Mytilus edulis: one gene and its partner. The protein of the gene in region 2 purifies or fractionates together with the protein of the main gene of each other region. This does not show direct contact. Links are inferred from orthologs where the notes say so. Each region holds a gene or a part of one and is shown on either strand. Other genes may lie near its edges. The genes, in order: superoxide dismutase [Cu-Zn]-like and E3 ubiquitin-protein ligase RNF19A-like.

Region 1 (11,207 bases), on a different chromosome or scaffold from region 2:
GAAACTGATATTCCATATAGGTCGACCAACTTGTGATAACTTCTGTAAATTTAAGAAGGGATGATTTCAACTTCACCATTTGAAACTCTTGGTTTAATAGTTTTATAAGCTGAATGTTAATTCTATGTGATGTATTGAATGATTGTAAGATTCTAAGACAGAATTATGTACGTTTGGCAGGGTTTCAATGACCTTGACCTATTTGAAAATATTTTTGATAAGTTTTTGTGGTACTTGTAAAACTTTCTAATCACAGACTTACAACAAACACAATTGTAATCAAGATAGAATTGAGAATGGAAATGGGGAATGTGTCAAAGAGACAACAACCCAACCAAATAAAAAAACAACAGCAGAAGGTCACCAACAGGTCTTCAATAGCCTAGGTAAAGCAGGAGAAGCATTTCATCATGTGCACTCTTGGATAGGAACAGCTAGACCCTAATCTACCACAAAGTCGTCATGGCTTGGATGAAATCATATATTAATATTAAATACTGACAAGTTGTATTCTGTAAGATAAAGGTTATGCCCTTTAAAATGAAACTAGAAACATTTTCTGTTACTATGTAGGTTTTAAATAATTTACACTGATCTTAAAAACAGCTTCAATTAGTTTCAATTTGTGGTTACTGAATACTGTATGTTTCAGTTGGACACCACATATCCTCACACACCTTGTTACTTCACATAAAACAATTTGTATCTGAAGGTCAAATATTATAAGTTGTATCTGAACGTCAAAAAGTAGCTTTACTTGGCTCATACAAACTGGACATCATTCAAATTTTATATTTAGGACTCGGCATTTGAATGCAAATCAATATAACTACTGGGCCAATCATGAGTCATTTCAGTTTGATTACAGAATGTATTAGTAAGAACTTAACATAAACAAGAAATACAACATAAAGCACAAGATGGAATCTTTCCTTTATCATTTCAGTATTATTGTTCAAAAATTCAAAACACCAAGAGTACATACATTATTCACAATAAAACTATAAATGTAAATAATCTGGATAAAAGTGAGGTACTACATGTAGTATCAATCAACATTGAATTTATACTCTTTTTCATCCACAATTTTGTTCATTGTTTTTAAACATTTTCTTTTTTATTGAGAATCAATATTTACAGTGCTTCTATCTGTATATTATTGTTATAATTCAATTGACATATTGTATGAAGGATTTCAATTTTGAAGAAAGTATATTTTCCATAAAGTTTAAAATTAAAAGATATATCATACCACACTCAATATTCTATGGCCATGAACATTCTAAATAGAAATTATTACAGTAATACAGAGACAAGGAATGGCTTCATGTTCTTATGGGCACTTTGTTACATGATTTTAAATAATAATAAAAAAAATCATTTTGCATTGCTACTACATAAAGTATTCATTTGAATGCATTACACCTTTGAAATTCCAATGACACCACAAGCCAGACGACCCCCAGCATTGCCTGTTGTCTTGCTTAGCTCATGGCCACCTTTACCTAAGTCATCTATATCAGCATGGACCTGAAAAGAAATAGAAAATGTGTGTAAGTGTTTAATGTTTTACATATATCAGAAGTGACACCTTCAAATAAGAAAGCATGGATCAATAAGATGGACTTTATTTGTTCCTGTACTTTCACTTATGGTTCATTGCCTGAATATTTTGCATATTTAACATGTTATAATATCATGAGTATTGCTATTTTAATTTCAACATTATTTTGTATTTTACTATTGAATTGATTAAACCTGGAGAGCATAAAAATGAAGTTATGGTATTGTGATAAAATTCAGATTGACATGATTTTATGATGTACTGTTACACCACTGTCACAGCTAAGGGGATGGTTGGTGCCTTCAAACGTCTAGAACCCCACTACATTATTTAGGTGCCTGTCCAAAATAACCTGTAATTCAGAGGTTGTTGTTTGTTGCTTTGTTACATATTTGTTTTTCTTTCTTTATTTTATACATAATTTAGGCCGTTAGTTTTCTTGTTTGAATTGTTTTACATTTGTCATTTCTGGAGCTTTAAGAGCTGATAATGCAAAATGTGCTTTGCTCGTTGTGGAAGACTGTACGAAGACCTGAAGTTGTTAATTTCTGGGTCATTTAGTCTCTTTTAAAGAGTTGTTTCACATCTATCACATCTCCTTACACATAACATATTCAGACAGACCTAGACTTTTTACAATCAATCCATATAGTCCACATGTATGAAAAATTGAGGTCATGCATTAGCAAATGATAATACACATTTTACACAACTTTAAAAATAAAATAAGAAAAGGCAACCTAGGTTGTGTATATGTTATGTTTGTAGAATTAAGCATCCTTATTGATATTGATAAAAAATACATGTTTTTAGTACATGTATCGTTATATTGTGGAATAGCCATAAACATTTTTGACTTATTATCATATTTTTCCTAGGCTGTGTCTGGTTTCTGATATTACTTACTACTACTGTTCTTCCTATGATAGACTGGGGACCAGTCAGGGATAGCTTTGCATCTGTTATTTTAATTTCTGCTTTTCCATCTGCATTTGCTAATACATTTCCCAGATCACCAACATGTCTTTCTTCATCTCCTGGTGCACCATGGGTCTTTCCAAATGGGTTGAAATGTGATCCTGCACTAGTACAACCTAACAGAAACAAAAAAGTTTGTATATTCATAAATGTATAACTTCATGTTCAATGCAATTCTATTTATCTCAAAGTTTCAGGAATTGTTTAAAATGTTCTAATGTGTCTATAGTCTTACCATTTGTGTTGTCTCCAAACTCGTGAACGTGGAAACCATGTTCTCCTGGAGCTAGCCCAGTTAACTCTCCTGTCACTGTCACTGCTGAATCACCATTCTGAAAGGTAATCAATTATCAAATATTAAAACCAGAAGTTAAATACATATGTAAATTAGACAAAAAGTCTTCTCTTCAATATGTTTCCAATTGTATACAAACTTCCTAAAATAGTTGAAGCTCATTTCCTACATCATTTTCATAAAATCTTTATCTGACATCAAACTCAGAAATATTTGTTATTTATGTGATAATTTAAATAGATTTGAATAAATGTAATCTAAGTTTTCAAACAAATTTATGACTTAAACATGAATTTTTGTTTTGTTTTGTGACCTCTAGGTTACAATTTGTCAAAAAAATCAGAGATAATTTGAAAGAGAAAAATATGATCAAAAATTCAAACTGCAATCTTGAAAATTCATGGTTTACAAATGTACACAAAATTTATAAATTCAAAAATAAAAAAATATTAAAAACCAATTCTTCAGAGAACAATTGAAGGTCTTTCCACCTCGATAATAAGAATGCAATTTAAAAAACAGTGAACATTGGAAAATGTCACTCATGGTTCATGTAATTTGTTACTTCAAACTGATATAATAAAAACAATTATAGGTACTTTTTCATAGGAATAGTCTGAAATAGGCTACTTCCGGTTAAAAAACGGTCATTTCCCGTTGACATGGTACATGATGAAATGTCTGCAACCAAATGCAGAAGACTTTATTGTTTTATAATGAACCAGTAAGAATTCTCAGCAAAGGTCAAAGTCTAGAACGTCAAATTGACCTTTGAATTTGACCTCAATTTCAAGGTCATAGGTCAGTGATCTCAAATCAAAAGAGCCCAGGTAAATCACTTGTATGGTTGTGAAGTAATACTAATTTCAAATACATAAGGGGAGAAAACTCCTATAAGGGTTGATCTAAACACTTCCGACTTAAACAGGTTAAAGTTGTGCCCTTTCGTAAACATTTATTTGGCAAACACATCATATCATTAACTGTTAGTTTCTTTTGAATAAAGATATAAACAAGCAAAATTAATTTAGAACATGACCTTGACCTTTGACCCTGACCTAAATTTTCTCCAAACGGAACAAGGACTTCATATCAAAAGACTTTAGGCCTCTACGACTTATAATGTATGAATTTATCCAACATATCACCTATCTTAAATTTTCAAAGAGAGATAACTCCCATAAGATGTCATCCGATCACTCCAGTTAAATTCATCAAACCGTTCTTAAGAGCAGACAAACAATTTGGTGAAAACAGTTTGTTGAAATCTTTAACGGTTCCAGATATAAAGATAACAAGAAAAAGGGGACGTGGGGAGATAACTCCTATAAGAATAAGCGTTCGGTCACACAGGGTGAGTTTTGAAGCCTCAATTACTGTACAACATCATTGGCCAAAAATCAGTTTGATATGTTGTAAACAAAAAAGCATCTCAGACGGCAAAAGAAAAACAAAAATAATCAGAAGAAAAACAAAAGGTCTTTCCACGAAAAGTGGAAAGACCTAAATATCAAATAACTTTTGTCCACATACATGACATACTATTCTACATTCAATGTTAATCACTCTTCTTCAACCATACGGCATAGAATTTTTAAGGTGATCGAAGATATAGAGACAATAGTTTTGATCATTGTTGAACTCTCGTAATATTTAGACTTTTTTATTCTTTGTGTTATTAGTGAGACCTTTAGGAAGAGCTGAGCAGAGTGATACTGTATAGACAGTTGAATTGTAAGAACAATGATAATCATGATAATAGGTGTCTTGAGGGCGAAAACATATGCCAGTCCACTGGTACGCATTCTGTTCTGTTTTAAGCAAAAGTCCACTAAAAACACAGTAGTACTGCTACAAGGTCTATACTCGGAGTAACTCCATCCCAAAAACATCTATGATACAACAGCCCCTCAAATGAGGCATAACCCCTAAATGTAACGACTATCCTTTTAAGTGGGGTTAAAATGGTTAAAATCAAGTGGTGAAAAATATATATTTGTTGCTCTTTATCTGGTGTTGATTCTATGCCAGACTATGGGCTACCCTTGTTCTGTTGTCCCCCAGTGTGTAGTTGAAAGCTGGTTGTATATCCACTAGTTGGTTCTTGATCTTGTAGCAAAGGATGAGTCACTGGTTCATTTATCTTTGCAGAAGGGTATCCCACTCGCGTTGGTCTTTCAGTCCAGTGACACAGCCTGAGGAAGTGTCGGTGTACTAGTTGTATACCAATCGTGCTTTTTTGCACTGTACCCGTTCAAGGTCTTTGATCAAGCTTACTCCATCGATGGTCTGAATGCACCAAAGGCTGTGTTTTTGACTGATGGCTTACACTGGCCAAGGTTCCTGCGGAAAAAACTGAGGGTCCTGGTTGCCTTTTCGGTTAATAATAGTATCTCCCAAGGTACTGGATAAAAACACATTCCCAACCTGATAGTGATACTAGCCCTGTGCTCTAAGTCTGACAACATACATGTTCTATGTTTTGACCTTTGACAAAGAGGTAACTTTTAATAGTCATTTGAAATTTCCTTTCTAGGATAAAGTTTTTTTTACGAAACTCATAGAAAAGGTTGCCGTAAAGGGGGCTATATTACAAAAGGTCAAACTGTAGTCATATGACATGGAAATTATGTTGACCAGCAACATGAGCAACAAATTTTGAAAATTATTTAAAAAAAAATATTACCTGTTGACTGAAAGCGACTGTTCCTGTAACAGCACCATCTCCTTTCAAGACACAAACTGCTTTTATATTAGCTGCCATACCTACAGAGATAAGATTTTCTTATGAACAAGTGACCGGTAAGTGACCGTAAACTGCGAGAAAATGTGGACAAGTGTCGTGTGCAACGGGTGTTGCTAAAACGCAGAAACAGATTACGAAACGGAAAAAAGAAAACATGTAACTGAAATGAAAACATTTTTTTGATTTTTTGTAAAGTTTAGTGGTATTTTAGGTTCTGTGGTAAAAAAACACGCTCCGATTTAACAGCGCGAAGGAGAAACGAAAAATAATAAGAAACGAAAAAACAAAAAGAAAAGAAACGAAGCGAAAAAGAAAACTCAAAAAGAAAAGAAACGAAACGAAACGAAACGAAATAGAAATCACAGACTTTGAGATAAAACAAAATTGTTAAAATTGGGATATGACCTGTATTACAAAATAGTATATTTTTACGAAATACATTATTAATTTTGGCTATTATATATGTAGGACTCTAAAGTGCGATGGTAAAACTGTGTGAATGATCGATCTAGTAAGTCCATTTTCAGTAACAAAGAGGCTGTGAAATGTCTATCATCTCTTCAAGATAAGTATGTTGTTGTTCCTGCGGACAAAGCTTCAAATAATATTGTCTTTGTATGTAAATCGTATTACTACGAGTGTCTTATAAAAGAATTAGGAATAAATGAACACTCAGGTAATCCCACATACAAAAACATATCATTTGACAAGGATGAGATTTTGGCGAATCATAAGTCCTTCATGGCTTCTATGAACATTGCATTGAACAACAAATCGGAGGACTTACCTTGTTTGTATTGGATACCTAAACTTCACAAAATTCCGTACAAACAACGGTACATTGCCGGCTCATCTGCTTGTTCTACTAAAGAATTGTCCATTAGATTGACTAAAATTCTGTCCGCAGTTAAAGAGGGTCTTCAGATATACTGTGAAACTGTTTACTCACGTAGTGGTATTAACCATATGTGGATTCTGAAAAACTCTAAAGAACTTCTGGATAATTTTAAATCTCGGTCTTTTTCTGAAATTAGTTCTATTAAAACTTTTGATTTTTCAACCTTGTATACAACCATTCCCCATGTGAAATTGAAAACCCGTCTAAAAGAAATAATTCACAATGCTTTTCATCATAAAAATGGTAGCATACGCTATAAATTTATCACTTTGGGATACCATAAGGCATATTTTGTTAATAAGGAACAAAAGGGTAAAACATACTACACAGAGGAACAAGTGATCAGTATGCTGGAGTTTCTTATTGACAACATATTTGTTGAATTTGGAGGTAGACTTTTTCAACAAATTGTCGGCATTCCTATGGGAACGAACTGTGCGCCTCTCCTTGCCGACCTCTTCTTATTTTCATATGAATCGGAGTTCCTTCAGACACTTGTCAAAAACAAGAAGATAAAAAAGCCAGGTTATTTAATTTCACTTTCAGATATATTGATGATGTTCTTTCCATTAACAATCCGAACTTTTCTGATTGGATTCCATTAATATACCCACCAGAACTAGAAATTAAAGAGACCACAGACACGGCTTCCTCTGCCTCATTTTTAGACTTATACCTCGAATTTGACATACACAGTCATCTCAGTACCAGAATCTATGACAAACGAGACGATTTTAATTTTGAAATTATCAATTTCCCCCACCTTAGTAGTAATATACCAACTTCACCTGCATATGGAATATACATTTCCCAACTTATTAGGTATTCAAGAGCTTGCAGCTCCTATTCAGACTTTGTAAAACGTTACCAGTGTCTGAGCAGAAAATTGATGAACCAGGGGTATGTCAAAGAACGTCTCGTCCTTTTTCTTAAAAAGTTCATCGGAAGATACCCAGAACTTGTTGATAAATATTCCGTATCAACTTCACAAATAATACAAGATGGTCTTGAAGTATAGATTTTGCGTACTGACGTTTGTTAGCATCTTAATTACGTATTATAGTATTCTTTTATATGTCTGTTTTAGATATTCATTTGAAGTGACTCTGTGGTTACGTAAAACCACATACTTTGAACGGCAAAATTATTTCATTTATTGATATTACTTTTACTTAAGGATCTTGACATACTATGAATGACTAAACTATTTTATAGATAAATTCAGCCGTATTTGACGTGAAACTGTACTTATGTGTCCCGTCATACTTTGAACCACGCCATTATTTTATTTATTATTTTTACTGTAAGTCTGTTTTTTGTTATATCTACTTTACGTGAGTCTGCATTTATGTATGCCGTCATACGACAAAATTATTTTTATGTCTACCTGTGCGAATTTCAAACGCGCAATTTTACACCAGTAATGAAAACCTTCTTTCATTTATGGGTAGACTTTACATAGATAAATTCAGCCGTATAAGAAAAGCAAAATGAGAATGTTAAATTTGATGTATGCCTTTTTGTGCTACTTTGTTACATTTGTTGTTTATGTAGTGATATTAAGATGATAACACAATATTGACTGTTGTATCCCTATTTTTGACATTTTTACTCTTTGAGTATATTTGTTTTGTTCATGCATCGTTGACAATGTAATGGAATTTGATGCGACTGTCATACAAGTGAGAGGTTTAGCTAGCTATAAAACCAGGTTCAATCCACCATTTTCTACATTAGAAAATGCCTGTACCAAGTCAGGAATATGACAGTTGTTATCCATTCGTTTGATGTGTTTGGACTTTTGATTTTGCCTTTTGATTTTTGATTTTCCTTTTTGAATTTTCCTCGGAGTTCAGTATTTTTGTGTTTTTACTTTTTACTCTAAAGTGCGATGGTCACGCTAAAGTGCGATATGGTCTACGCTAAAGTACGATGGTGTATCACGCTAAAGTGCGATGGTTGTTTATTTGCTAAAGTACAATTAAATATCACGCTGATGTGTAATGGATCAAAAGGGTAATTAATGTTAAAGGGCTTAAAACTTTAAGCAACACGGATGTTAATAAATAATCTTTTTGCAAAAGCTAGTATGCTTAGGTTTTATAAAATATGTGATAGACTTTATAATTACCGGTGAGGCTTAAGTGATTGTTTTTAAATCTAGAAGAACGACCACGTAGTCATTGCTAAAGTGTTAATTTAAGTGTGACAAAAATCTATATATCCTCTGTATGATTTTTTTTTAAATTCGGGCCGGTATCAAATATTTTGATAATTGGCGTTTCTTGCCGTTCAAACAGTCTATCACTAATGTGAACATCCCCCCTAAAAGTCGTCATTGTAAATTACAAATTCGAAATTCGTTTATTGTGTGACATTTATTTGTTTAAAAAATTATTAATTTAAATGAGAGGGAAATGCAATGATTACCGAGCTTTCTCCTTTTTCGCATGCGATACGGATTTTGCCATGTATTATTCTGTTTATCATATATTCTAATAAAATCTGCAGAATCATGGGCTATCCATTTTTTTTAAATCGTCCGAAATTATTAAATAATTTAGAAAATAACATTATGATTTTGCTGTATTTTTCCGGCTAACTTTTTTTTATATAGACTTCCTTATTTGCTTAATATCCATCTACATCTACATCTACATAATACTTCTGAACTTCAATATGTTGAAGATTACAAGAAGGCACATACTAGGGAAACAAATTAAAAAGCTAAACATATTTACAATAATTGCAAAAAACATTTTTTTTATTTTTTTTGGTATATAGATAAAAAGATGATTTGGTTTAGCAATACATTTGGTTTTGCACCAGACTTAAAAGCGTCTGGGATACAGGCTACTTGGTATCCACATCGTAATGTCCCCTATATTCTTATTACATTCTCAATATACTTTTAAAGACCATGTATTTTTAAAATGCACCCACTTACGAAACTGGCCCCGTATTCACAAAACTCTCGTAACGTTACGACTGTCGTAAGGTAAGGTCTACGATATCGTATGTTGTAATTTGTATTCACGAAAGAAACTTACGATACGATGTGTTGTAAATATTGTTATATGCTTACGACTGCTCGTAAAAAATCGAGGCAGCGCTGATATGAGAGGAAGCGAACCATTCATCAGACGAACAAGTGTATTTTTCGATAGATCTTATCCATATGAAAGATGAAAGGCCGATGATTTGCTATTAATGGATGCAGATTTTCGTCCGTTCGTCCCGCTTCAGGTTAAAGTTTTTGGTCAAGGTAGTTTTTGATGAAGTTGAAGTCCAATCAACTTGAAACTTAGTACACATGTTTCCTATGATATGATCTTTCTAATTTAAATGCCAAATTAAAGTTTTGACCCCAATTTCACAGTCCACTGAACATGGAAAATGATAGAGCGAGTGGGGTATCCGTGTACTATGGACACATTCTTGTTATACTTACAATTTGTGATGTCTCCAAACTCATAAATGGTAAAACCTTGTTGTTTAGCAGCTATTAAACCAGACAGAGGACTTTACTGGTTTAATAGATGCTAAACAACAAGGTTTTACCATGACTGGTGAATCACTATTCTGAAAGGTAATCAATTATCAAATATTAGAACTAAATACATTTGTAAATGAGACAAAAGTCTTCCTTCTTCTACTTTACACATATTTGCAAATGTTCTAGAATAGTTCATTTTAAAAATTTCTATTAACAAATATAATTGTTGTTTTTTTTTGTTGATAATTCGATAGATCGAGTCAGTTTTTTGTTCGCATACTCCAAAATCAACCAATCAAAATGCTGGATTTCATGTTTCGAGCATGAATTTTGTGCTCCGAGCACTAAGCAAAGTTTTATGACTTCAACCCTAATCATTTGAGCTTTTCAGAAAAGATAACAGATACATATAATATAGGATCGTGTGATCACTTAAACAAAATGAAGAAAGTAAAAAATGTTTACTCAAATGAGAAGGTGTGATAAGGCTCCTTTTTTGGGCTCCAAGATTCGGAAATAATGTTTTATAATATATCTATTAAATAACACCCATCTTATCTACATAGTTAATCTGATTAAAATACAGATCCTTTGTCGAAGCTTTTCCTTAACACTAAGACCATAATTAACGATGATGCTAATTTTTAAAATGATGATCACCAGATAATTAACTTTCTAATCAGAGATCTCAAATAGGGCAAAACTTGTTTGGTAAAATGTAGAATGGAAATGGGGAATGTGTTAAAGAGCCAACAAACCGACCAAAGAGCAGATAACAGCTGAAGACCACCAATGGGTCTTCAACACAGCGAGAAAATCCCGCACTCAGAGGCGTGCTTCACCTGGCCCCTAAAAAAATGGGATATTGAACGTCATATTAAACTCAAAAATATATAATTAAAATCATACAAGACTAACAAAGGCTAGAGGCTCCTGACTTGGGACAGGCGCAGAAATGCGTCGAGGATACCTAAACATGTTTTGTAAGATTGCAACCCTCCCCTTTACCTCTAGCCAATGTAAATATAGAACACACACAGCAATACTCACCGAAAGTCCGATTCCGATGTCAGAATAGGCAACAAAAGGTACTAAATAAAATGACGATGATTAAAAAAATTAACAAAGGACTAGTAGCAGTCACTTACATGCCAGCTCAAAACCTCAATTAAACTGATAGAAAGGTTATGTTTCCATCAAATTAATGGATCCAGGGGGGCCTGGGGGGCC
Region 2 (11,499 bases):
GATTTCTATTTACTTAAACTAAAGTTATTGTGCGAAAACCAAGAATAATGCTTATTTGGGCCCTTTTTTGGCCCCTAATTCCTAAACTGTTGAAACCAAAACTCCCAAAATCAATCCCAACCGTTCTTTTGTGGTCATAAACCTTGAGTCAAAATTTCATAGATTTCTATTAACTTAAACTAAAGTTATAGTGCGAAAACCAAGAAAATGCTTATTTGGGCCCTTTTTGGCCCCTAATTCCTAAAATGTTGGGACCAAAACTCCCAAAATCAATACCAACCTTCCTTTTGTGGTCATAAACCTTGTGTTAAAATTTCATAGATTTCCATTCACTTTTACTAAAGTTAGAGTGCGAAAACTAAAAGTATTCGGACGACGACTACGACGACGACGACGCCAACGTGATAGCAATATACATCGAAAAAATTTTCAAATTTTGCGGTCGTATAAAAATGTAATGAAAGACTCTGTATACCTATTGGTAATAAAACTACATGTATATAAATGGCTGAAAACATGTATGCTTCAAATACAAAAGTTTTACTCACTGGTATTTACTCCCCATGCCAATTGGTCAATACTGGCAAATAGTGCCAAATACAGGTGGATTGAAATTTGCATGCTTCTTTTGACTTACATGTATCTATCAATTATAGTAAAAAATATTCCTTTGGCATAATTCAGTTTATAAAAATAAATCTAATATAACATCCCTCTTTCGATAAAAGAAACAAAGCCACGTTTTAAATTTCTTATTAAAATATATAACAAGCTTAACTTACAAGTAGGGCTGTAGGTGATTGATGCCATTATTGAAATGGCAACCTCTGTTGCAGTTTGAAAAACACTGTAGGTCTAAATAGACATTTGTTAGCATTAATTGGATATAAGATGATGTGTGATGTGGTATGAGTGCCAATGCAATGAGACAACTCTCCATCCAAGTCACAATTTGTAAAAAGTAAAGCATTACAGTATTTCCCAAACTCTGACAGACAAAGTGTCCTTCGGTCAGACAGAAGTTTTAAGAGTTTTTTAAATTTTTAGTTGAAAATTTAGTAGCAATGAATCTCGAAAGACAGAATAACACTTAAAATTTTCATACACTGTATATATTATTGACTTCTAAACATTGATTATTAAATAGCAGTATATTATAAAGATTTTTCTTTAAATCTTCGTCAATTTATCCCTTTAAATTTTCTGCACCCATTGTATAAAAAAATTTAATCTACGTGTGGTTCGTTTGATCTCAGTTCTTCATTGGTTAAAATCCGATTATGACGTTGAATTTTCTTGCTTTCCTCTGAATTTCCTATTGTGATGGAATGAAAAATTTTTTTGTGGGGAATTTGCCCCAAAGTTGGTCCTCAGGTACAAAAAGCGTCAATTTTGACCTTTTTTCGTTCTTTTTCTCGACCTGTAAGTCCGAGAGATGCTAATAGATGCATCCATCTGTAGTTTACATGTAGCGTGGACACCAGTGAACACTTTTATCACAACAGTTGTTAGGTCGGAGTGAAACTGATCTGGGTTCATCAGTGTAAAGAAGGTCATTTGCCCCAAAATTCACCAAATTTCGGAATTTTTCCAATTTTGAACTTTAACTGGACTTGCAACCGGAAGTAGTCGTTTCCTCGGCGTATTTTGATAATAGACACGACCAGTCGTTATGTGCCTTTAGGTTAACGGTATTTGTCAAGGTTTCAATCCTCTGAACTCCGTGATTCAGACCTTGAAGGTAAATCCACCCCTCCAAAAAAACCAATTTTGTCCGATATCAAATTTTGAAGTTCGTATTTGAGCTCAAAATGAATATTTAAAGTGAGAAACATGACATGTATAGTTTCAGATTGAGGAAACGTTCATACACTACGAAATAAATGGTATTACGATGACCTCTAAATGTATGGAGCGCCATTGATGCCAAAATATTGGTATTCTGGGTACGGCCGTAATATTACGGACCCCGCACGACAAGGGTTAAGTAAGTTTCAACATTATTTTTTTTTTTGGCGATTTTTAGATGACCAGCGTATCCCAAGGCCTTGATAACCTTTAAAGGCCCCAAATAAGACGAAAAAACATCAAAATTGGACAGAAAACTGAAAAAAATGGTTTCTGACATCAGGGTTCTTAACCCTTACCATGCTGAGTTGTTTTCAGAAATTGTCTAAATTTCGAGTATTTGCAAAAATATGCAAATGATATGCAAATGAGCTGTACCCTGATGCTGATGCATACTGATTACAATAAATCTAAAATAGGTGATCACGGGGTGGGGTGGTCGGGGTGAGGAGGCGGAATTTTTTTGTGGGGAATTTGCCCCAAAGTTGGTCCTCAGGTACAAAAAGCGTCAATTTTGACCTTTTTTCGTTCTTTTTCTCGACCTGTAAGTCCGAGAGATGCTAATAGATGCATCCATCTGTAGTTTACATGTAGCGTGGACACCAGTGAACACTTTTATCACAACAGTTGTTAGGTCGGAGTGAAACTGATCTGGGTTCATCAGTGTAAAGAAGGTCATTTGCCCCAAAATTCACCAAATTTCGGAATTTTTCCAATTTTGAACTTTAACTGGACTTGCAACCGGAAGTAGTCGTTTCCTCGGCGTATTTTGATAATAGACACGACCAGTCGTTATGTGCCTTTAGGTTAACGGTATTTGTCAAGGTTTCAATCCTCTGAACTCCGTGATTCAGACCTTGAAGGTAAGCCCACCCCTCCAAAAAACCCAATTTTGTCCGATATCAAATTTTGAAGTTCGTATTTGAGCTCAAAATGAATATTTAAAGTGAGAAACATGACATGAATAGTTTCAGATTGAGGAAACGTTCATACACTACGAAATAAATGGTATTACGATGACCTCTAAATGTATGGAGCGCCATTGATGCCAAAATAACGGTATTCTGGGTACGGCCGTAATATTACGGCCCCCGCACGACAAGGGTTAATATATATTAAAAAGCAGTTAGTTTATAAAGATCGTTATAAATATAGTGTTTTACATCCAACATGGCTGAACATGGCGACCTAGGATAATGCATACATGTATATACATTTTGTACCAAGTGACAAGTTGGCCATGTTGGATATACACACTTATTGACACTATTTTTAAAACGATCTTTATGAACTTACCTGCTTGCTATATATATATCATTTTTAAGTTATCAAATACACTTATAATACAATATTATTTAATAATCAATGTTTAAAAGTCACCAATTTGTGCTAATTATATTAAAACTTCTAGAGGTATTCAGTCATTTCAAGTGTTATTCAGAATTTCCGATAATAACAGTGTTATTTAGTCATTCGTGTGACCGGCAAAACATCAAATTTCATTTTCGGTCAAACAAACCCTTAAACAGTTTGACACAAACTGCCATTGTATAAGTCACAGTAGGGTCTTTAACACAGAGACTTGACTCATCACAAACCCCAACAATGAGTAAAACTATTCAAACCAACAACGATGTCGTTGAACATGTTATCAAATGTATATATATTAGTCAAAATAATTATGACGTCTGGCAAGGCTATTTTAATTTTCTTCTGGGACGCCTTCCTACGACGTCATAAAGCTGAAGCCATTTTTTACATCTGGAGTTTGAGAGCAAATTTTGGGGTGAACTTTGAGACCTAATTTTGAGACATAAAATTTTCCTTGCAGGTTTAAAATTTTTACGTAGTTACAAAGTCTTACCTTTTTTGTGCTTATTGATGTAATATATTTCCAGAAATATCCAGAAGAAATGGTAAAAAAGATACGATTCCATTTGAGTCGGGCAAATATTTATTTTCATTTTTGTTTCAAAATGATTTAGCACAATTATCAATGAAACGTCACTTCCGGTGAAAATAAAATATTAATATCGGTAAGATTCAATGGACCCGAATTTCAGTAACGTTCGATTTACATTAACTGGAAATTCAGGTCTTTCAAAATGTCCCGGTTTTAATATTTTATATTCACTGGAAGTGTCGTTTCATTGATAATTCATAATTTGTGGGAAATTTTATGTCTCAAAGTTCCCCCCAAAATTTGCTCTCAAACTCCAGACGTAAAAAATGGCTTCAGCGTTATGACGTCGTAGGAAAGACAGAAAAAAATTAAAATAGCCTTGCCAGACGTCATCATTATTTGGACTATATATACATATATATATACATGTATGACCAGTTCATAATAATTAGTCCCGGAAAATTAATGAATTAAAATCAGTCAGCCTTAAGCACTTTAAATACAGAGGCATTAACTATATGAACAAAACTGAAAGTCGAGGATTTTCAAAAATCATTACTGAAAGGGTTATTGAGTAAATATTTATTTATTTATTTTTTAGTCTATTTTTAACACTAACAGGTCGTCAACATTATCATCCCACCAAAGGTAAAATGTAATATACTCACAAAACATCTTACAATCTTATAACTTTAAACTGCTACACATTTTGATTATTTTTACCATTTCTTAATCAGAAAACAATGTTAATAAGAAATTTACAGGAAACTGTCAACGGAAAGATGGCAACTCCCGCCGGAAGTGATCTCACTCAACAAAAACAAACAAATAGTTATTATCGTGGTTTCGCCACTATGTTTCGTCCCTTATATCTAAGATTGGATTTTTTTTTACATCGGATGACCGTAAGGGAGCTACCATTTGATTTTTATGGGGGGCTAGGATGAAATTTGAAAAAAATAGGCAGGACAGGAGTTTTGAGTAAAAAAAAAAGGCAGGATGAGACACTTGCAAAAAAAAAAAGTCAGGACGACAATTTAGGTATAAAAAAGTCAGAATAAACTAAAAAAAAAAAGGCAGGACCGAACAGAGTGAAAAATAAAAATGCAGGACAGAGATTACAGCTAAAAAAAAATGCAGGACAAAATTTTCATGCTAGCCCCCCCCCCCCCCCCCATAAAAATCAAATGGTAGCTCCCTAAGGACATTCCGGTGTATTCAACCTGTTGTAACAGACATTTCTACCCATATGACTTTTGTTTTTTGACTGATAACCGAACACAAAATAAGTTAAAGTTGTTGACCACAAGCAAGTCGGTATTTTGGATTTAAACTGCACGACTCGGGTGATCCTAATTCACGGGGGGGGGGGGGGGGGGGGTAACTTCGATATGTGTTTGGTAGGGGTGTGCCATTTTTGCCTAAAAAAAGTACCCATTTTAATATAACATTCACTGAAATTCAGTACCTATAGTTATATAAATATTTAAGAAAGAATGACCTATACTTATATACAATATTTAAAATATGACCCATGCTTATATAAGCACTAACTCATCATCACTCATAATTCATAAATATACCAGCTACCCTTAAGTTTTTATATATGAATTGACATCGTTTATTGAAGATCAAATCAGGAGACAAATTTCCGGGGTTCATTTGGGAACTTATTTGAAAGGTGAACTTTCAAATGAATTGATTTAATTTAATATAATAATTGACCATTATTAATGTAAGATTCTCAATAGCATGTTTATTCATGATTATGGAGATCATACCCCAAATCAATATACAGTTATCAAACGTAAATGCATTTTAATATAGGATGTCATTAAAAAGGAGGGTCATTTTTATATAAAATCTCGCAAAATTATGACCCATATTTTTGGCACATCCCCGTATACCCAATAATAGGAAGTTACTCCCCCCCCCCCCCCCCCCCCCCCGTGTCCTAATTAACCCGGGAACGCCGCGTACGTAGGAGTTCGGGTTAAAGGGTCACACGAGCCGTGCAGATTAAATCCTATATACCGATTTGATTGGCCAAAAACTGTTTTAACACATCAATTTACGTGAACGTTTTAAATATGTTGACGGTATTCCGCGGCAATACACAACTCATAGGCAATTTCTTGTAAAGTAATTAAAGGGGGAAATGAGCCTTTATGTAGTAATTAAGAGGTTGGTAAAGGTTTTAAATTATTACTATTTTTTTTATATTTAGGCTTCTTTCTAAGTTGTTACATTATTTGCGATCTAATTGTTGATATTTTATATCGTTTCTGTTAAATTTGTTCATAAGTTTTTATTTAATTGGTGACGCAGGATTAAGACTTTGACATATTGTGTACTTTCAAATCGGTGTAAGAAAAATCATTACTGAAAGGGTTATTGAGTAAAGATAAATCGCTTTTCTTTCCCTCAATGAGAGAAAGATGACGGAACAGAAGAAGATATTGGTACATAAATTGAGAATGTTAAATAAACAGAAACAATGTTTCTCTTTCCAATCTTTTACTCCCCAAGACCCAAATTTAAAGTCGATCCCCAAATAGTCACTTTATACGAATAAATATGCAACTAAAGTCGTAACTTATTCAAATCAGATTTCTTTTTTGGCCGCTGAGAAACTACAAAAAAGTAAAAGTCATTATAATCTGTTCTGACTTTAAAACACTGATTTAAGATTTACATTGTGCACACAAAATATAATAAAATATTTAATGTCCCCGTTTAGATAACAACAACAAAAAGGAAGGAGAAACCTTTCTTTTATCATAATGGGCCTCGTTCGCCAAGAAGTCTAAGAAGTTCTTCTACTGTAATCACTAGACAGTCAACACTGAGGTTTTGAGGGTGAACTCTGCCCGTGCGGGGGTTCTCGACTCCAATATTAATTGATTAGGATTTTCAGTTTTCCTATCAAAGGTGGGTGGTTTTCATTGGGAACTCCGGCTTCCTACATCAACAAAAACTGGCCGCCACGAAATAGCCGAAATGTTGCATTTAAAAGTGGCGTTTAGTCTCGCTACAATCGTTCATATTTTCTTAATTTTATAGAATAACACCCCTTTCAAAATCCAGGAAACGCCCCTATAGGTAAGAATACAGATTTGAACTGCATATGCAGTATATCTGATATATAGTTAATGCACACCTTAGCTGTGCATTATCCAGATTATAGCATAGTAAAAAAAAACAAAGAGATTTTACCTATGGCATGTGTTAACATTCCTTATCGCTAGAATGCTGAGGATTAACCTTCCTTACATTACCTTACCTCTGTATCTTTAACCCCTTTTGTAGAGGAACGGTCCCATAAGAGAGTATGTAGAACTTGTGATCTGTCTGCAGTTTCTATGTACAATAATGCCTGGACACCAATTATGTTGCAGTGCTCTATATATATATATATATATATGTTCCGGACCATATGAGTATTTGGACCATATGCGTATGGTCATGACCATATGGGTATATACTCATATAGTCCGACCATACGTATACGCGGGGTAAAAAACACGTTTACTTTAAATTCTTTTGAACTCTTCATAAGGTATGAAACTTCTAGTTGTCATGTCTGAAAATGGTAATTTTATCATATCAGGAAACGCCCCTAAAGGTAAAAGTACAGATTTGAACTGCATGTGCAGTATATATCTGATGTAGTTAATGCCCGCCTTAGGTGAAAATGGTAATTTTATTATATTTTCAGGATAAAAAAGATAAACTAAATAAACATTTAAAAAAATAATCATTTTCACACAGTTAATTTTACTCACTATTTGTAAGTACAATAAGAAGATGTCAAAATCAAATGCACATATTGTGAATTAAAGGAAGTTTTGTTACTTTAGGTATACCGGACCAGTGGTTGACAAGGCGTCTTGTAATTTACCTCGTTTATTGCGTCAAGTATATCACGGGCAAGGACCATAGTTTTTTTAAGTTGTCCTGTGAATATAGCGTTCTGCAGTCATCATTGAAACGTTTCTAATGCATATTTGAAAAAAAACCTATATGGTCCAAATACTATATGGTCCGGAACATATACACTAACAGGAGGGAAATCCCAACCACACTCACTTGTATTAAAAAATCTTTGTTGTATAGTTAAATTGTATCTGTGCTTATCATACGATGATTAATAGTGAAGTCACTATAAAATTCCTTTCTTTCTTTGTATATCAAATTGAGATTGGAAATGGGGAATGTGTCAAAGAGATATCAACCCGACCATAGAACAGACAACAGCAGAAGGTCACCAATATGTCTTCAATGCAGCGAGAAACTCCCGAGATTTGTGACAAAGCTATTGTTTCTTCTTTTATGGAAGTGGTTAGTTTTTTCAGTTAAAAGTCATTATCCTAATTATTATCATCCGCAAACTATCCTACAGCGGGCTATACGCGTTTAGTTAGGCGTTCTAATTTTGCTACATTAGTTGGAGAGAATTTCCCTGATGTTGCTACCGGTTTGATGTCCAGAATTATTTGCAACTTTTTATTGCCCAATAGTTTATTAAATTGAATTCCAAGACTGTTTAGTACAACAACTGTTTCTACAAGTATCTTGTTCCTTACATTTCGGAGTTGGACGAGGTTTAATATGACTCGAAGTGGGTCACAGTTTCATCATCCTTTGAGCATAGTAGACATTTCGGATTGGTTTCGTCCGCAAACAATTTTTTGGGATCGTATAATGGTATCATGTCGTCTGCGTCGTCGTCGTCCGAAGACACATTTGGATTCCGGACAATAACTATAGTTTACGTACATAGATCTCTTTGAAATGTAATAGGAAGGTTCAATACCACAAAAGGAAGGTTGGGATTGATTTTGGGGATGCTGGTCCTAGCCGTTTAGAAATTAGGGGCCCAAAACAAGCTTTTTTTCTGCTAACAGGTTTATTACTTGTGTATAAGTATTTCAATTGCTCTGAAATTGTACCACAATGTTAAATACCACAAGCAGAAGGGTTTGATTCATTTAGGGTGTCAACAGTTTAGGGATTAGGGGCCAAAAAGTGGCCAAATACAAGCATTTCTGTAGTTTCTGGACAATTACATTGTACCACAAAGTTCCATTTCACATAAGGAAGGCTGGAATTGAGTTTGGTGGTTAATGCCCCATTCATGCTAGAATTAGTGGTCAAAAAGGGCCAATAAAAGCATTTTTCTAGTTTCATGAAATATAAATTGAGTTAATTATACATGTAGTCATATGACAAGGTATATATTTTTGATAGACAAAATATATGAAAAGGGTGGGGTACTTGATGCCCTACCAAAATAAGTTTGAAGTGGTCCCCCGAGACATTTACAGTAGAAAGAATAGGGGGAAGTTAACATGTTAACAACAAATGCAAAAATGCAGATAACAGTTTAGAAAGTGGTTTGAAAACAGGTAACAGTTTTAATTTATCTCAGATAACAGTTATAAACAACACCGGCCTTGAAAAAAGGCCAAAACAGTGGTTAACATAAAAAGGTATTGCCCCCTTCAGAATAGAATGGTAAGCACTTTCAATTAATATAAGATGCTGCATGCATTATTCAATGTTATACATTATATGCATTGATAGTGCAGCATATTGTATATATATAGAAGCCAACAAGTTCGCTCGCACATGAAAAAAAAAGATAATGACCAAAAAAAAATCACTCAAATTATTTTTCTTTTTGTTAATTACAGGGGGGTCAGTTATTTTTCCCATCTGAATAAAATCCTTTGCGATAGACATAATAAAGTATGTATTAAGTGTTATTTGCATGTGAAATTACTCGATAACTATACTACAGTAAATATGTATGCTTCTGATATCTTTATCTTTTGTATATCAGATCCTCAGATCAGATCATATGATCAATAATCACCATTGTAGAGAAAATGTCAATTTTAGACAAAAATCTGGAAAGAAGATAAGTTATTGTTAAAAAAAAAACGTATGTGTGTATAATGAAAATCGAAAACGAGGTCCGTAAAATCTGTAAATAATGAAAACAAAATCACGTGGAAGGGTAAAATTTAATATTGTCATCGTCTAATTCGTCGTAGCTAGTGTGTAATCAATGATTAATCAGAACTGCCATTTGACAGAAGTCAAAACAATCGTTGCACGAAAATGATCGTCGTTCAGCTTTAATTGCTGCAGTTGTTCGACATCGAACTGGAAATTATAGTATCATCAAAAATGATGGGGAAATTGTTTTCTTGTTTTCATCGACAGAAAGACCGCCAGGAGGCTTACAGTACGTACACATTTTAGTATAATTTTTCAACTTCATTCATGATCATTGAGTTATCTGCATAGCGAAATGTGAGTCCCAGTGTTTGAATACACACTGATTATATTTGTCAGTATATTTCCCGCATTACGCTTTTTCGTGTGTAGAAATCTTGCAAATTAAGTCATCGATGGAATCATTTGAGTTGGTACAGATTTTTGTCTCGCGCTGAGTCATTGGTTATAAGCTCATATGTCTTCCACTGGGTTAGCGGGTACTTGATTTCTTACGTTAAATGGTCTTACATCAGGATATAATAAAATTTGACATTCAGGTGCTTTAAAATTCAAGCAGGTTACAAGTAAAGTAATGTGTAACGCTTCCAACCTATGGTGCACACATTTTCCATATCTATAATAGTATGTGGAAGGTTGAATAAAATTGCATTGTCAATGAAAGGAAAGGTCGATTAACTTAGTTACAATCAGATAATACCCCCGTGTATTGAAGTGTATTGAAGTGAATCGTTACAACCAGAGACATACATTATGTCTGCATTAGCATACAGCTGGGTTTTCTTTAAAAATAAATATGAACTTTTAGACCATATTTACTTCATTTTAGTTTTATTTACAGTAAACCCAATTAATGTCTTAATTCATTTTAATGATTTTCTCTCGCTGCTTTATATTGTTTGTTAAGCCGTGCATTTCAGAATATTATGAACATTATTTGTATAATATCGTATCTACATAATAAGTAGATGTACGAAGTTTGTTTTTGACTTAATTGTTGTTATCATGGTTATGTATACATTATTGTGTTGTTATATTAAACCACTGTCCAAGCTAGGTTATATTAGTGGGAGGGTTTGAGCACGGTTACTTGTATATAATCAACCCCATTCTGTATGTGCCTGTCCCATACAAGTCAGGAGCCTGTAATTCAGTGGTAGTCGTGTTCTTCTTCTTCTTCTTCTTCTTCTTCTTCTTCTTCTTCTTAGAGCCTGTAATTCAGTGGTAGTCGTGTTCTTCTTCTTCTTCTTCTTCTTCTTCTTCTTCTTCTTCTTCTTCTTCTTAGAGCCTGTAATTCAGTGGTAGTCGTGTTCTTCTTCTTCTTCTTCTTCTTCTTCTTCTTCTTCTTCTTCTTCTTTTTCTTTTTCTTCTTCTTCTATTCAAATTCAAATTTAATTTGGTATACTATGCATATCTTTAATGATTTCGTCACGAAAAAAAACATTAATATAAAAGGCAGAGCCCTACAAACTAAATATATATGTCTCTGATAAAGGCTCTCTCAGAGTTGGACATGTTCTTATCTTTCTCTTTGTTAGTGAAGATAATGGTTATAACTACGTGGAATTCTTGTGGAAGAAGTTAACAAAAATTTACGAGACATTTTTTATAGTGTTGTTATTTAATTATTTCATTTGCATTTTAGGATCAATTCGCTAGTTCAAACAAGACCAAAATGTCTGGCGTTTTTGACGTTTAACTTTTGTAAAAAAAACAACAACTTG

The links.
Region 1: the proteins of E3 ubiquitin-protein ligase RNF19A-like (region 2) and superoxide dismutase [Cu-Zn]-like purify together in Homo sapiens (affinity purification with western blotting, with the first as the bait; 3 studies listed by BioGRID). This does not show direct contact. The link is inferred for Mytilus edulis from reciprocal best matches to the Homo sapiens genes RNF19A and SOD1.

Annotation. Positions count from the first base shown.
Region 1 is NC_092353.1:20,700,736-20,711,942, reverse strand, and holds superoxide dismutase [Cu-Zn]-like, read right to left. Parts: upstream 5,701-11,207; 5' UTR 5,602-5,700; coding exon 5,524-5,601; intron 2,875-5,523; coding exon 2,778-2,874; intron 2,659-2,777; coding exon 2,471-2,658; intron 1,531-2,470; coding exon 1,420-1,530; 3' UTR 852-1,419; downstream 1-851. UniProt on the Homo sapiens protein: Destroys radicals which are normally produced within the cells and which are toxic to biological systems.
Region 2 is NC_092355.1:45,846,349-45,857,847, reverse strand, and holds the start of E3 ubiquitin-protein ligase RNF19A-like, read right to left. Parts: upstream 4,566-11,499; 5' UTR 4,420-4,565; intron 1-4,419. UniProt on the Homo sapiens protein: E3 ubiquitin-protein ligase which accepts ubiquitin from E2 ubiquitin-conjugating enzymes UBE2L3 and UBE2L6 in the form of a thioester and then directly transfers the ubiquitin to targeted substrates, such as SNCAIP or CASR.